Linked DNA regions of Oryza sativa Japonica Group. The protein of the gene in region 1 interacts with the protein of each later gene in a pairwise test. Links are inferred from orthologs where the notes say so. Each region holds a gene or a part of one and is shown in the gene's direction. Other genes may lie near its edges. The genes, in order: FKBP12-interacting protein of 37 kDa, probable N6-adenosine-methyltransferase MT-A70-like and peptidyl-prolyl cis-trans isomerase FKBP12.

The links.
Region 2: the proteins of FKBP12-interacting protein of 37 kDa (region 1) and probable N6-adenosine-methyltransferase MT-A70-like interact in binary tests that used the Arabidopsis thaliana proteins (3 or more experiments, as listed by UniProt). The link is inferred for Oryza sativa Japonica Group from reciprocal best matches to the Arabidopsis thaliana genes FIP37 and MTA.
Region 3: the proteins of FKBP12-interacting protein of 37 kDa (region 1) and peptidyl-prolyl cis-trans isomerase FKBP12 interact in binary tests that used the Arabidopsis thaliana proteins (3 or more experiments, as listed by UniProt). The link is inferred for Oryza sativa Japonica Group from reciprocal best matches to the Arabidopsis thaliana genes FIP37 and FKBP12.

The regions. Positions count from the first base shown.
Region 1 is NC_089040.1:16,709,766-16,714,834, reverse strand, and holds the end of FKBP12-interacting protein of 37 kDa, read left to right. Parts: intron 1-3,296; coding exon 3,297-3,352; intron 3,353-3,692; coding exon 3,693-3,866; 3' UTR 3,867-4,072; downstream 4,073-5,069. UniProt on the Arabidopsis thaliana protein: Probable regulatory subunit of the N6-methyltransferase complex, a multiprotein complex that mediates N6-methyladenosine (m6A) methylation at the 5'-[AG]GAC-3' consensus sites of some mRNAs.
Region 2 is NC_089036.1:27,845,097-27,850,799, forward strand, and holds the start of probable N6-adenosine-methyltransferase MT-A70-like, read left to right. Parts: upstream 1-1,913; 5' UTR 1,914-1,967; coding exon 1,968-3,068; intron 3,069-4,900; coding exon 4,901-4,999; intron 5,000-5,326; coding exon 5,327-5,410; intron 5,411-5,492; coding exon 5,493-5,703. Other genes in the region: mitochondrial import inner membrane translocase subunit TIM23-1, read right to left, coding at 454-1,053. UniProt on the Arabidopsis thaliana protein: Catalytic subunit of the N6-methyltransferase complex, a multiprotein complex that mediates N6-methyladenosine (m6A) methylation at the 5'-[AG]GAC-3' consensus sites of some mRNAs.
Region 3 is NC_089036.1:32,511,583-32,517,224, reverse strand, and holds peptidyl-prolyl cis-trans isomerase FKBP12, read left to right. Parts: upstream 1-2,056; 5' UTR 2,057-2,156; coding exon 2,157-2,244; intron 2,245-2,550; coding exon 2,551-2,584; intron 2,585-2,813; coding exon 2,814-2,875; intron 2,876-3,468; coding exon 3,469-3,521; intron 3,522-3,841; coding exon 3,842-3,943; 3' UTR 3,944-4,114; downstream 4,115-5,642. Other genes in the region: uncharacterized protein, read right to left, coding at 5,439-5,591. UniProt on the Arabidopsis thaliana protein: PPIases accelerate the folding of proteins. It catalyzes the cis-trans isomerization of proline imidic peptide bonds in oligopeptides. Mediates rapamycin inactivation of TOR protein kinase activity.

The DNA.
Region 1 (5,069 bases):
CAGAACAGACACCACCACTACTAACATTTTAAGTAGTATAGATATCAAATTGAACTAACCAACGTCAAAAAATAATAAAGGATAGAGATAGTACTTTATAATCCTTTCTTCCCATTTTGCCCATTGATGATTAATTTGGACAACTACTTTATATTCTTAGCTCACTACGTACATTGTTTCAACTCTAGACTAATTCATCCTCCTGTTTAATATTGGTTGCACAATGTAGTGAATTTTATACTAGCGTGTAGCCCTTAACTATAGGAACTATTGAGGTTCATAAAGCGTTGAATGCCTATATGGGAAAACAGATGTTTAGAGCTGATGGCTTGATCATCTTTCATTAGACAAGAATTTTACGCTTAATATTAGTAGCATGGAAAGAAGGGGAGAAGTTTCTTCCCTTACAGTGAGTATCAAACAGAATGGATGTGAAGTTATTTTGCATTCTTTAGTCTACAGAATCCCATCATTAAAAATTGGCAAAATTGGTTTTAGAGCAATGAAAGTTCATAAATTTGGTTTTATAGCACCAAAAGTTACTTGTTCACTTTAATAGCATCCTAATGTTTCTTCCGTTCTCATTTTTGGCACTCCGTCAATTTTCTCTGTTTGCCATCAACGTCGACTTGTATGGCTCAGCCAATCTCCAGATCATGGAGATCAACCAGTCCGGACCCTAGGTCTCGCCGGCGGTGACCTTAGCCTCTGCCCGCTGCTTTGCTGGCTGGTGCTGGTCGTACTGGTGCCCATCTGCCGGTGCCAACCGTGGAGGCAACAACCGAGCGAATGATAACTTAATACTCTTTCTGTAGGAAACTAACTGATGGAGTATAATCTAATCTGGTTGTACATGTGTACTGCAAGAAAGAAGGGGAAAAATGGCTTCTTGATTCACTGGCAGTATCTGCATTCAAAAGGAATCACAACGCCGCAAGATGAGTCGTGGAGCCCCTCGCTGCATCACTCCCAACAGTACTCCGCGGTTCTGCACATCAATTAGTGCGTGCAAGCCGTTGCGTCTACTCCGCCGGCCATGGTTGCATTATGCCGGTGAGGGTTCCTGTTAGCAGGAATGCAGGATTGAGGATTGATGGGGATCAATGGTACCGGCGATGGACGTGAGTCTGCTGGAGACACATCACCGAAGAGCTGATGAACTGGTCGTCATGACTCACGACAAGCAATCGGTCCAGCAAGGGTGAGCAGCGATCCAAGGCGATGGGGCCAGCAGTGGAAGGATTACACGTGCTGTGCCATCTCTTCTTCCACTACCGGCAGTATGGCAGGACGATGCTGCCATGGCGCAACCGATTCGAGAGGGGGGAAAATTTTGACGGCAAACGGTAGAAAACTAACGGAAGTGCTAAAATGGGGAACGGAGGCAATTTTCAGTGCTATTAAAGTGAACCGGTAACTTTCGGTGCTATAGAAACAAGAATGTGAACTTTCGGTGCTCTAAAACCAATTTTGCCTTAAAAATTCTAGTACTCAGCTGATAGCAGAAGCAGCCAACTAGTAAGCTAAACTAAAAGAATTTCAGGTTGCATATGCTTATGCACATGTTTAGAATATGCAGTCCAACTAGTAAGCTAATGAAACTAACATTGATAAGAAGAAGAAAATCTCACATACCCTGAGTTTTTGTTTGCCTTTGGCAGTCTTTCGTGCTTTGATGTTTGGACACATTGATAAATATTTACACCTGATTTCATTTGAAGTTAGAACTTACCAGGTCTATGTTTTGTAGCTGTGTGCATGTGTATGTTATCCTAATTCCTAATATTACAATTAGTACCGTTTGTATTTTTGGCCTTGTTAATCTAGGAGTATATGAGGATTCCATTTGACCAAAACAAACTAGCAATTGTGATATCCAATCATGGCTTCCTGAAGCTGTTTTGATTTCTGAATGGGATTTTCAAGGTTGTTATCATTCCAAATGAGGATGCGATGCGACATGTCTCCTGTACTCACATTATACGAAATTTCCAGTGTACTCGTAGTGCATTGGCTCTGAATGCTGGGATTGTTTCGTGGTTGTATTGTGTTCAGTCTGTCTAATATTTCATGGCTTATAGATTTAGAATTAAAGTATGTTCATAGCAGTCTCTGCAGCAAACCATAAATGTGCTATCATATCAGAGGTTGAATCTCTTACAAGTACCCTAGATCGACCAATTAAGACCATAAGTATTATTACTTTCTACATGTTCCACATGCAGCTTTTGAAATGACATGTGATGCTGTCTGTTGACATTCTCAAAAGATTCTTGTTTTTATCTTTTATTGCTTGTGTTAGCCTTGTACTAGTTTATAATGGTCCTACTGTAGCATCAATGGGCTACGGTATCATGGTCCTTGCTGAAGTTGTACATGTGAACTTTACCAAATTTTGTTAACTGTGGAGAGGTTTGTAATGTCTCCAGCCAACCAAAACCAATCTTTTGGTAATGGCAAGATCTGGGCACAGCCAGATCCAACGCCCGTAAGGTACATTGTCTCATGGCTGTACCTATTTGTGGATAATTGAAGTTTGGGAGCTGGGGTGAGCATTTGGCCTCCCATGGATTGCTCAAACATGGTGTTAGATTTTCTTAGATTTTAAAAATGTTGCCATCACCAAATTCGTTGGCTTCAAACCAAATGACAGCCAAGCTTTTGAAGTATAACCAAAACTTTTTGTGAGGTTTGCTGGGGGTTTCAGACCAAACAAATTCAGATATGTTCAAGTTACTAAATTTAGGTAAGGCACACATTTTGCACCTATCTACTTCATTAGGCGGCTTCTAAAAACATACTAAAAAAATGGTGAAACTTCACTTCTCTAAGTTTCCTCTTGAGGGACTATATTGATGTGAACTGAGTTCTTGATTGAACGGAAATCCTGAATACTACCAAGAAACCAGTAGCCAGCTTGTTTCCCCCAAGAAATTGTTTGAAATTGTATTTCATTGTCTGAATTATTCTCAATATATTATGTTTTAGTCTACCTGCAAACAACATTACTTTTTAATTCATTGAAAGCATCACATAAATTCAGCGGAACTGGCTGCACATCCTAGAATCAATTAGGAATTAGTGCCAGGGATAATCAGGCATATACTTTAAGGATTAGTCATCTTTGTTCTTTTGGTTAGAACTTGTAAACCTATATGGCAAGTCTAACATATGTCAATATGGATCCATTAGATATTCTAATTTACCAACCTATTATGAAGTCAATGCCTTCTGCTCTTACTGAACACTAGTTTTGCTAATATTGAGTTATTTGACCATCCTTCTGTTGTCTTCAGAGCTGTATAAACACATGGATGGTCTAACAAATGACGTTGAAAGATCAAATGAAATGGTAAGTTTCATCATTTCTACCACTGTAAGTCTCTTCTGTTTATTACTCCCTCCGGGCTGATAATACTTGTCGTTTTAGACAAAGGTGAGGTCAAACTTTAGAGTCTTTGATTATAAATCATTTTTAAAATATTTGTTTTTCAAATATGGTGACTACATGTATAGATTAGTCTTAAAAAGTACTTTAATAAGATCATATATTTGTTGACACTTTTATACATATTATAATGAAAAATAATGATCAAAGTTGTTTTTTTTTGAGACCGTGCCCTTTTCCAAAACAACAAGTATTATCAACCCGGAGGGAGTAAAATAACATTTCACTTACAACCCGTTCACAGGTGGCCATTCTTCAAGATGAGTTAGAAACAAAAGATGTAGAGCTGAGAAGATTGAAGGAGATGCTTGCCCAGAAAGAAGCAACTGATGAGAACAAAATACCTCAAGAAAATGACGTCGCTGGAGATGATATAGTTGCTGCCGCCGAGAGTCAGCCAATAAAAGTAGAAACATAAGCTACGCCTTCAGCAGTCATTTCTAGAGTAGCTTGCGTTCTCAACATTCTTATTATTTTTTGTATCATGTATCAGAAGTGTTTACTTGTGTAATTTATCTAATGTCGTTTATTCTTGCCGATTTGCATTGCGCTTTGTCTGAGCACTGCAGCATGAGACGTGTTACCTACTTACCTTGAATCTAAACTCTCTTAGTTCGTGCGTCAGTGAGCTTCCTCTTGTACTCGGTATCCTATGCTTTTTGCACCGTTACAGCACAGTTTCCGTTTTAAACATCCAGAATACATATGAAATGGATGACCCATGATCTAAGCAGTACTTTTGTAAACTTTGTATCTCGGTAGCCGGCTATTCATGTAAATTTAAGAAAGTAAGAAATATGTGCTGCGTATCCGACCGGATTTCATGAAATTTTGATGTTTCGACAGGGCTTGAAAGTAGAAACCGTATGAGATTTCGAGAAGTTTTATCCAAATTTAAATTTGAATTGATAAAAAAGAAAATAAAATAAAATAAAATAAAATCTTATAAATATTATGGTATTCATAGAATCTATTGGGATATAAATTTTCGAAAACAAATGATGTATTGTGTGTATTTACTGAAACTTACATTAGGAAAGAAAAAAAATAAAGAATTAAAAAAAGAAAAACACTTACATGGGCCAAAACCGACCGTAATTAAAAAAAGGGAAACACTTACTGATCGAAATTTCGATGATTTCGATCGGAATTTCACCAAAACCGACCAGTTTTCGAGAACTTGTCGGCAAACTCATGGAATTTGTATTCAAATTTTGGTTTATGAAATTTGTTCGAAATTTACCGGTTTTCTACCGGATTTCGCGAAATTCCGAATTCCGCCGGTGCCTGAAACAGAAGGGGTTGTCGAATCCTAAACCCTAGTCGGGGTAGATCAGGGGAAGATGTGTTCGGTGAAGGAAGGATTTGCATGATGATGGAGATCTGAAGTAGGATGAGCTAGCACGGAAAAGAGATGGATTTGGAGAACATAATGGTTTCTGTTGAGATCAGATTTTGTCGTTTGAAAGGAAATCTGAGCATTTCAGCTCAATGCAAGTCCCTAAAAATATATAATTGTGCCAAGTTTTATTGAGCCCTGTGCTGAGTGAAAACGTCATGTTTACTTCACTATACCAAACATATATGCCAGACCACGTTTTGTGGGTGTATATCTTATCCT
Region 2 (5,703 bases), on another chromosome or scaffold:
CAACCTGATAAACAAATTGCACTCAGCTTCGTGGGAGAGGCAGGAACTCCACATTGAGTAGTAGTTCAACCTGGCAAATAAATTGCACTCAGCTTCGTGGGAAGGATATGCATCCGATACCGAGATCTAACGATTAGTTGAAGAATCGGCGTGTCTGCCAAGATTGAAGTGCGTGATGTATATGAACCGACCCATATCAAGATCTAACGATTGGTCGGTTAGGGATGGAGTTACCGTCACCACTATGTTTTATTTTTTAAAGTGTATATAGTATTAGTATAAATATGATTCTCAACGAAAAGATTAGCATTTTTTTGTCCATTAATTTGCAGGACACCAAATATGAACAGTTACAAACTATTAATTGAGATCAGAGTTGCTAGCTAGATACTACGAATAAAAACTTCTCCAGGCGCACACCATGTTGAGTAGTAATTCAGCCTGAAATTTTACTCAGCGTAAATAATCCAATCTGGCGGATAGCTTCGGCGCGAATCTCTGAAGCATCGGCTTACCCGCGACAGCTGCGCCGGACAGGACTCCGCCGAGGATGCCGGCGACGATCATCGACCTTGGGCCGGACGCGATGCGGTAGAGCGCCCCGGCGCTGGCCCCCGCGGCGACGGTGTTGACCCAGTCGTCGGCGCCGTCGCGCTGGTCGCGGACGAAGCTCTCGGTCCCGGCGAAGAGCATCGCGACGATGCCGAACCGGTTGCCGAAGGCGCGGCCGACGGAGCCGCTCTGGTTGAGGGCGCGGTTGATGCGCAGCTTGGCGGACTCCCCGCGCTCGGCCTCGGCGGCGGCGCGGCGGAGGCCCACGAGCGCGCCGGACGTGGCGCCGGCGAGGTAGCTGACGCCGGTGTAGAACGTGAGGTTCTCGCCCCAGGTGCGGGTCTGCCGGAACTTGTCCTCCTCGAAGAGGCACTCCGGCGAGGTGGGCAGGTCGTAGAGCGCGCGGTACGAGGTGGGGAAGGCGAGGCCCTCGGGGCGATCCGGCGAGTAGAAGCGGCGCCCTTCCGTGGGCTCCTGCTGGGCGTCAACGGCGCGGGACATGGCTGGCTGATCTAGGGTTGCCGTGGGCTGCTGCTGCCGCTGCGTGCCTTCTGGGTTTCTGGACGATCGGTTTTGGTTGCCGCCGCCGTGTGCCGGGGGTTTAAGAGAGGGGAGTGGTCTCCGATCTGCAGTCTGCGCCTTCGCCGTGTCGCCGAAGAAAAGGGGGAGGGCGGAGCCGTGCGAGATGCGGACTCGAAACCCAGTAGGAAAAGGAACCACAACGCGACGCCACGGTTCCGACTTCCGATTGAGAAAAGAGGGTGTGGGCCGGTGAGGTGGGCCGTGGGTGTCGGCCTTCAAGTAAGTGGTCTGCCAGCGCGGCCTCCCTCCGCCTCCTCTCGGCCTCCACACAACTGTGCACGCAAGGGGCTAGGCGGAATAAGTCCAGTAGGACTCCCTCAAAATATAAGTCCAGTTTATTTGAATTCCTTAATCGCAAAGATATTTGAAACTGGCTCCGTCGTGGAATAAGAGAACATAGTATTTGCAAACGAAAAACAGTTTGTGAATAAAATTTTTATACACGTGTTTTTAGCGATCTAAAAGTAAAGACTGAAAAATAAACTTCGATGAAAAAAAACCCAAAAATCAACTCCAAATTGAGAGTTGAAAATTTAAATTTTGGCTGATAAGCATAAGCAAAAGAAAAAGATGAGGCTGTGGTGTAATTTGACTTCATAGATTATTGTAAGAGTGGTTTTCGCTGAGGTGGCAGGTTAACTTGTCTGCTTTCGGCCAGCTATTGGGCCCGCCACCGCGTCCCCTTTCTCAAATGGGCTCGACTTTATAACAGGCCGGGCCGTGCAAGCGCCACGTAGCTGCACAAACAAGGCCGTATCGCGTCGTGTCAAGCTCGATCTAGAGTTGCAAGACCCCCAAACCCCCGTGACCTCTCCGCCGCAGCCGCAACAGCAATGGAGGCGCAGGCGGACGCCGGCGGCGACGACCTCGCCGCCATGCGGGAGCAGTGCCGGAGCCTGGAGGAGGCCATCGGCTTCCGCCGGGAGACGCAGATGGGCCTCGTCGCATCGCTCCAGCGCCTCGTCCCCGACCTCGTCCCCTCCCTCGACCGCTCGCTCCGCATCATCGCCGCCTTCAACGACCGCCCCTTCGTCCCCACCCCGAACCCCGACGGCGGCCACGGTAAGAGCCCCGCCGCCCTCAAGCCCCACCACCGCCGCGCCCTCCCTGACCCGGCGCGCTCCACCCGCCGCAAGACCTCGCCCGGATCCTCCCCTGCCTCCGTCGCCGCTGCCCCCGGCGGCCTCGACGCCGTGCGCACCATGGTCGCCGTGTGCCTCCTGGAGCTCGTCCCCTTCGCCGAGATCGACGCCGCCGCGCTCGCCCGCCGCCTGCAGGCGGAGAGCTCATCCGCCAGCGAGGCCGAGCGGACTGCTCTCGCTGACCTAGCCGCCGAACTCGGCGGCTCGGCGGCCTCCGCTGTAGTCCTCGCCCTCCGCCGCATAGCCGAGGACACCGGCGGTGTGCAGATCGAGGAGGCCATGATTGGGGGCAAGTCGATGACGATGGTCTGGGCCATCGACCGGAACAAGCTCCTCAAGGAGCTGCCAGAATCCGCTACTTTGCCGCTACTCCAACCTCCTCCAGCCCCCCAGATGCCCCCCTCTGAGACCGATGCCGGCAGCGCAATGATACCAAGAACACCGCAGCAGCAGCAGCCGCAGCCGGATATGTGGCCGCATTCGATGCCTCCGATATTCCCACGGCCAAGGGGCATGACGATGCAGGGGATGCAGAGGGTGCCCGGCGTGCCACCAGGGTTGATGCCGCTGCAGCGGCCATTCATGGGACCAGCTGGAGTTATCACAATGGGTGGGGGTGTGGGGCCTAGCCCTAACCAGCAGAAGCAGAAGAGCGAGGAGGACGAACTTAAGGATCTTGAGTTGCTGCTGAACAAAAAGACATATAGAGAGAAGCAGAACACCAAGACCGGGGAGGAACTTTTAGATCTCATTCACCGGCCCACGGCGAAGGAGACGGCTGTGGCAGCGAAGGTCTGTTTTCCCTTCACCTATGCTAGTGGTTTTGTTGTTTGCACTGTGTAGTTAGTGATGCTTTGGGTTGCTGATTTGTTATTGATGTAGTCTCACACTGTTAGTCCTGTAGTAGTAAATGAGCTGGCAGTGGCGGACCTAGGATTTGAACCCAGGGTAGGCCTAGCAAAAAAAAAAATCTGAATGCAATACAATATGATTCGATATAAAATGTGGTAAACGATACGGTATATAACTCTAAATGGTTCAATACAAGTAGAAAATAACAAATAAGTTTGAATCTTACCTAAATGGTCCAAAGTTGGCATGGACCTTTTAGAATGTACCCTCTTCTAGCCGCATCTTGATCGTTGGCATCAAAACTTGAAATAGAAGCCCTTAAGCCTGGATCATGTTCAATATCATCAACATCATAAAGCAGCGGCGGTTCTTCTTCAGTTTCAATTGACCCCTGTTGAGTTATGTGTCTTAGTGAATATGTATATGTTTAGGGACTAAATGTAAAGACCATTGCATACAAGGAGATGGGGGACACCAGGTCCAAATCATCCAAAATTTACAGCATGGTATCAGAGCAGGACGATCCTGCTTGATTTTCTTGCAATCCCTAGCAACACGAGTTAATGTGGAATGCTGGTTTGCAGACTGCAGTGAATCATGGTCCAGAGGTAGTCCTGAAGAGATGAGGTTGATCCATGTTTTTTTTTGGTGATTAGTTGCATCTGGTTTGCTGCCTGCTGTCTGTAAGAGTACGGTATGTTTTTTGCCAAGGAAATCCATCCAAGCCTTGCCTTGTGATTTCGCTCCTGGACTTGCATTTTCTTCGTTGCTGTCTCAGCCTCTCAGGTGGCGTTGCTGCTGTTTTCTTTGCCGTGTGTGCTGTCGAGAGTTGCAGCAGACCTGTGTAGTTGTGTGACCTTGTATAAGTTCAGTCTTGATAAATCTATATAGAAGTTTGTGTTTTGATTGGGTTCCAACCTGCTCACTAAGAAATGAGTGAGCCAACTACAGCAGGGGCGGCTGGGCGCTGGCGGCGTCGGGCAGGACGCCGGGACCGCGGGAGCCGGGAGCTCGGGAGGCCGCTGGGCAACGGCCGGACGTGAGACGGAGAGGGCGCGGCCAGCCGGCCAGGGGCAGAGTCGCGGAGATGGCGCGGCCGCGGGGGCGCCGGCGCGGCGCGCGAAGGCAGCGGCGTTGCCGCCACGGATGGGCGTGCGCCTGGCGTGAGCCGGGAGGCCGCCGACCGACGGACGCGGCGGGAGGAGCGGCGGCGTGAGTAGCGGCCTCACCGGACGGTGGGAGCGCCGGAGTTGCGCCGGCCTCGCGGCTCGAGGGAGCGCTGTCGCCGTTGGTCGGTCGGGAGGGGAGAGTGCACAGGAGAGAACAGAGAAGAGACTTAGGGTTTTTTTTGTTTGTTGGGCCAGGCTTTTTTCATGGGCCAAGAAAAAATAAATACCTGATCTTCTCTAGGCCAAATTCTAGGGTAGTCCTGGGCCTACCTGGACTACCCTCTGGGCCCGCCCCTGTGAGCTGGTCTACTTATGCATTGCTGTTGTTAAAACTATCATAGGACGCATAACAGCTAGTTGTCGGAGGCACACTGCTATAATGAACGGTTTATCATAAATTGCTTAGATTCTGCACTGAATTAGTGCGACTGTCAAAGTAAAACTGTTAAATGTTGTTTGACCCATCTGCATTGCCTATATATTGTCAACCTCTCGACACTTATAACTTCCACTCTTCCAGTTCTTACACATTTAATTGTAATAATATGGTTGACATGAAAATCATTCATCTTGTTTTGTTAATATGGTTTTATGTTCATGCAGTTTAAAACAAAAGGTGGTTCCCAGCTGAAGGAATATTGTACCAACTTAACTAAAGAAGATTGCCGACGCCAAAGTGGATCTTTTGTTGCCTGTGATAAGGTCTGTGGTGATAGTGTCCTGCACCCCTTTTCACAATGTGTACTTCCGCACGTTACATTTTGTCTACTTTTAACAACAGTAGAGCAAAACCTGTTGTGTTTGATTCAATCACTTAAAATGATGTGCCTATCCACAATCATGGCCTCTTTGACGATGAAATTATCCTGTTAACATATTAGGCCTTATTTCTGGTTACTTGAATTTATTCCAATCAAAATCTTCACATTTTTTTCCTTGAATACTTGAATAGCTTTTGTTATCTGGTCTTTTAGCTGTTCATGGTAACAACTAATCTGGAAGTAACTGTTTATATTTCATTCTGAGCAGGTCCATTTCCGCCGTATTATTGCTCCTCATACTGATACAAACCTAGGAGATTGTTCTTTTCTCGACACTTGCCGTCACACAAAGGTGACTATGGCATATACACCCTTGTATTTTCCTCTATTATGATGTGTGTTTTTGTATCTTACATATATCCTATAATCTGTAGACCTGCAAGTATGTCCACTACGAGCTTGACCAAACACCAGATATACCTCCAATGATGGCTGGTGCTCTTGCACCCCCAAGGCAAATAAGGCTCCAGAGAGCTGAATATTGTTCAGAAGTAGAGCTTGGAGAAGCTCAATGGATAAACTGTGACATCCGAAACTTCAGAATGGATATCTTAGGACAGTTTGGAGTAATTATGGCCGATCCCC
Region 3 (5,642 bases), on another chromosome or scaffold:
TGGCGAAGACGAAGAGGATGATGAGTCTTCCGGCGAGGGAGGGGGGGATTAGCGGGTGCAGAAGCGGGCGGCGGTGTGGTTGCCACCCACGAGGGCGAGGCGGGCGTGCGGCGCGCGGAGCGTGAGGAGGAGGAGGTGACGGATCCGCTCGGTCTCCATGGAGGCGACGCGCCCTGCCTCACCCGCCTCGGGCCGGTGGGAGAGATCGATCCGGCGTTAGGTCTCCATCGGCGGCGGCCGCCGGTGGGGGGGAGAGATCGGCTACGGAATTTGGGAGGTTTTCGTGGGAAGAATTGGGAGGGTGCGGGTGGATGGCGATGAGCGGCGGCGCGCCGGGTGTGTCCCCGTGTTTATGGGGGCGGTACCGCGCTAGGTTGGGTGGCTTCGGAACGGTCCGGTGGGAAGCGAGCGGTCCGGTCGGGGGCACAGTGGGGGACTGGGGATGGATGGTTTGCGACAGTATCTGGTCTGGTGGAGTTGTAACAGCTCGGGAAAATCAGCAATATTATAAATCGTTAGATTAGCATATACTCCCTCGTCTAATAATATAAGAAATTTTGATTGTATAAGATATATCCTAGTTTAGATTCATAGTATGAAAAGAGTACAATAAAAGTGTTTTTAATGTGTTTGCATTATAAGCGTACATCTACAATAAAAGTTTTTTTAATGTGTTTGTATTATGAGCGTCTGCGTTTACACAATAGAAGTTATTAATCATGCATTGATCATTGTATATTTGTATTGTACCATGGTGCAGTTAATTTTAGAGAAAAAATTCAAAGAAAAACTAGCGATCCAAACCAATATATTGGTGTTGATACTTGTTCTACCACCATAACGATATATTGGTGTTGGACGTGCTAGTGTGTTTTGAACAAGATTTTTTTAGCGAGGTTAAAAATCCCATATTCAAGCCTTGTTACTTCTTTCTTAGGTTAAGCACATCATTTATTAATATTGCCATCTATTACTGGATAGGATACATCATAGTACTACGAATCGGATACATCACTATATTATATAGTACTAAATTGTTATATTATGGGATGGAGAGAGTATTCTATAACACACATTTTGTTTTCTCATAAGCAATTATCATTTCTTCTTTTGTTATGACGATCAAGCAAGAGAGATTACATGAGAGGCATCATATGTTGTTATTAGGAAGATTATGGGTTGTTTGGTTGATACCTAACTTTGACATAACTAAGGTTAGACAAGTAATATGTCTAAGAAATAGTTGGTTATAGCCCGCAGGGGGGATTTACAATTATGACATTGCAAACATTAACCTTTGCTATAATAACACTAGGCTCACATTTTATAGACACAGATGGACCCATTTGTCATCCACTCGGAGTGTCAAAACAGCGAAGCTCTCGTGTTTGCAGTCCCAATATTACAAATTTCTCGCCCGCATGTGTGATATGTTTAGTTACAAATTTGAAAGTGCGGGTAGGTCTTAAGAGTAAGAAAGTGTGCATAATTGTGAAGTGAAACAATCACATGACTAAATAATCGTGATATGACTAAAGTGTGGTATGGTAAAGTGAGACAACCAACCCATCACCCCCTTAGTCAATGGCCGGTCAGCAGCTTAATACGGCATTTGTAGCCTCACGACTAATATTGTATGGTTCTTTTAATAGGTTTTTCATAGGACGACACAAAATATATTTTTCGAGATCGTTATAGGAATGTAACAAAATATCGTACGCATAGTATTTTCCGTTATGTTTACCGTTATGTTTATGTTATTCCAGTTTCTTTCCCATGTTTTTATTTTTTGAGCGGTTTCCCATGTTTTTATGGTTGTGCGCAACCTATATACGTAGAGGTCGGATGCAATTTTATTGCGAAAAAAAAGAAGAAAACCATTGAAGCTGGACCGTAGGACTGAAAAGATCGTCTCTCCATCCAACGGCCCAGGAGACGCCGGAACAATTACACCACCAGAAAGTCGTGTAATAAAAAAAAGTAGTGGATTGGTGGTGTAATAAAAAAGGAATCTACTAGCGCTCTATAAGGGCGAGCCGCACGGCACCACCAATCCACCACTGATCATACTAGCACAGAGCGCCGCCGCCGAGGAGAGTCCAATCGAGAAGAAGGGAGGAGAGGCAAGCGGAGAGGAAGAAGAAGAAGAAGAGAGGATGGGCTTCGAGAAGACGATCCTGAAAGCCGGCACCGGTCCCAAGCCCGTCAAGGGCCAGAAGGTCACCGTCCACTGCACCGGCTTCGGTTCGCCGCTTTCCTCCCTCCCTATCTCCCCCAGAACATTTCCTTTCATGCTTTTTCTTTTCTTGGATCCGTGCGTGTGCTTAGCTGAATCAACCTGAGCGGTAAGAACAAGGTGGTTCGTTCCCAGATCCATTTCTTGTTGGATCTCATGTTTGATGCCAGGATTGTCTTTTGGATAGATGGTTTAGATTCAAATCGCAGCTGCTAGTTTACCTCTGTCCGGTTTGTGGATAGATTTCTGAGTTTCTGTTTTGGAGTAGTTAAGCCTAACTTGGTTTCCTTGCCATGCTGCTTTCTTTTCTGCAGGGAAAGATAATGATCTCGCTAAGAAGTTTTGGAGGTACAAAAACTATCCTTTTTCTTTTCTTGTTCTGTTGTAACTTGGATGGCGCGTCGCGTGGCGTTGGTTCAGCCAATGCTGTGTATTTGTTGTTTATGGGTAGAAAATTTATCGTTAGACCTCACAAATCAAAATTCTTGGAGGTAATTTTGGATAAAGTTATTTTCCCCCAAAAATATTCAGACAAGATAGAAATTTCATCTGATGTTGTGTCCTTTGTTTCTCTCAGCACAAAGGACGCAGGCCAGGAGCCATTCAGTTTCAATATAGGCCAGGGTTCGGTGATCAAAGGTAATCTCATCTCAAATAACTATTCAATTCATACACAATGATTCTGCCAGTTGGTAATCGGTGCATATGTTCCTAGATTCTGTGGTTACATGGTGGAAACAAAAAAAAAGTTGTTATCTCATCAAGGGATTAATCATCTAGTTATCCCGATTGCCAATTTCATTTTATTTCACGAAAGTAGTTCCTCGCATTGACTAATGATGAATAAGAACATGAGATCACTGCTGTTTGTGATTTTTTTTCAATTGTACAGTTGAGATTATCTAATCAGATTTATGATATAGCTAGAAAGGTGCACTGTTTGCCTTCACTGTTTATGTTGCATTTAGTTTGATCATAACTTGCCAGTTGTGTCTTCTCGTTATGATGACACACTCTCATGTATCCTTGATTTATTCTGGTTGCTATATAAACTGGTGTAAGGCATATTCGAACTGCAATACTGTATTTCTGTTGCTGTATAAACTTGTACTATTATTTTAGAAGTTCACCATACATTTCCAAGAACCAATCAAAGTCATATCACATCCCAAGCATTGACAAATCAAGTTGACTCTTTCGATTGAGGTATAACACTACTCTCTTGCTTATAGGATGGGACGAGGGAGTTATGACCATGCAAGTGGGTGAAGTTGCTCGTATTCAGGTATGCAGCGCTTGGGTTTCACACGTGTCTAAATTAATGTCTGCAAGTTTGTTTCTGGTTTGTTTTAGCGTCTATGTGTCTGCAAGTTTGTTTTAGCGCGATAAATCCTTTGCTGATTTATTCGGCATCTACTGTAAAATTTCCTGTTGCTTTGAAGTGCTTAAATGCCGAAGTGTTCAAATGAGCTTGAACTAAAGGGCTTTTTTACCTTTGCAAAATGTCAAGCTGTACCTATTTCCTGAGAATCCGTCTGTATATCATACTATTGTTATATTTGCTTTGCTTTCTGGCACCTGGCATTCTGATTGTTCTTGTTGCAGTGCACCCCGGATTATGCGTATGGAGCTAGTGGGTTTCCGGCCTGGGGAATTCGACCAAACTCAGTGCTGGTGTTCGAGATTGAGGTTCTTAGCGCCCAGTAAACGCATCATGTAATTCCGGATGGATCTAAAATTCCATGAGTACTGAAATAATTGTAACGTCACAACACTGCTGCGTGCTACCGCTGGAATGTTCTATGTTATTGACCAAGTAACGTTACACCATCGTCTATGGACACGATAATAAGTTTCGGGCCGTACATTTTCGTATTACTTTTGCTGAATTCGTCGTCTCTTTGTTATAACAAGTTTCATGCCGTTACCTTGTTGCATTACTTTGACTGAGACGGCAGTGGCAATGTGGCATACTGGCATGATATGTTCAGGTAAGCAGAAGGCCGTGTGGTGGTGAACTGGTGATGCTCAACCGGTGACGCCTCTAATTGGCAGTTCATTCCAAACTTATCCAAAATAGTTTATTTCGTACTGATGCAGCCAAATTTTGAATATTTAAACTAACTTTAAATTAAACTAGGTGGTTTTGCATCAAAGCCTTGGCTTTCAAACGGCGAAAAGTTACAGAAATCAATATTTTTAGTTGCTCTGTTTATTTTTCTTGGTATGTGCTCACTTTGTTTCCTAGCCAAACTCAAAACTTTTTTAGATTTGATCAAATTTACAAAAAAAAATATACATCTATAACACCAAATTAGTTTCACTAAATGTAATGTTGAATATATTGTGATAGTACATTTTGTGTTGAAAATGTAATTATGCCTTTCTATAATTTTGGTTATAAACTTTTTAAATTTGTTTAGGAATAAAATCAAACCAAATTAGTTTCACTAAATGTAATATTGAATATATTCTGATAGTACATTGTGTTGAAAATGTAATTATGCCTTTCTATAATTTTGGTTATAAACTTTTTAAATTTGTTTAGGAATAAAATCAAAGCTTATAATATAAGAGAGTAATAATTAGCTCAACCATTAAGGCAGGAGAAATATATGACGCTGAGCACCTATCAAAACATTTTGGAATCAGCCCGAAAACATACTCCATGAACTTCGCCAGAATCTCTAGCATAGTGGCATGTAGCTTTGCCTTTCACTAGCTCGACCACCATTACTATACTATACAAGCCGTCACGAACAATCAATTGTCCCGTCCATACATTAGAAGAAAATAATTTCTATCAACGAGTCATCGACCTCGAAACACTAACATTGGCAATTGTGTGAGCACAGATAGATGCTATCGATGATCTAACCTAAAGCATCACTTAAACTACACTACCTACAGTGCAGTCCAATTTTTCAATGCAGACCATCCCACAGGCAGCAGAAGCATACTTGAACCAGGTTTAACCAGCAAAGTATCATTTGATGGACTTATCTGGTAGGCCATCTTCTCCGGTCATGCACTTCAAGTCTTCAATGGGACCCTTCTGTAGCCTTGTTTTTTTGTTGTACTTATATCTTTATATTTTTCACATTTTTCCTTTACATAGATTCCCACATCTTCACTTTGCATCTTCCGCAGCATGTCAACACGTCCTTATTCTTCCAGTGACTGGTATGTACACCAAAAATGCTCAGTAATAGAAGCTAGAGTTCTTCTGTCGGGGTGCATCTTTGCAGAGGATCGACCGAACTTCCATGATGGATCTAGGTGGTTCCAGCTCCTTCTGTTGGATCGAATTACCCAGCAGCTGCTGCATCTGGGATGCAAATGTATCATCCAGCACCTGCAATGTTGCATGTTTATTTAATCATAGCAGAAAGGAGGAGCATCAACA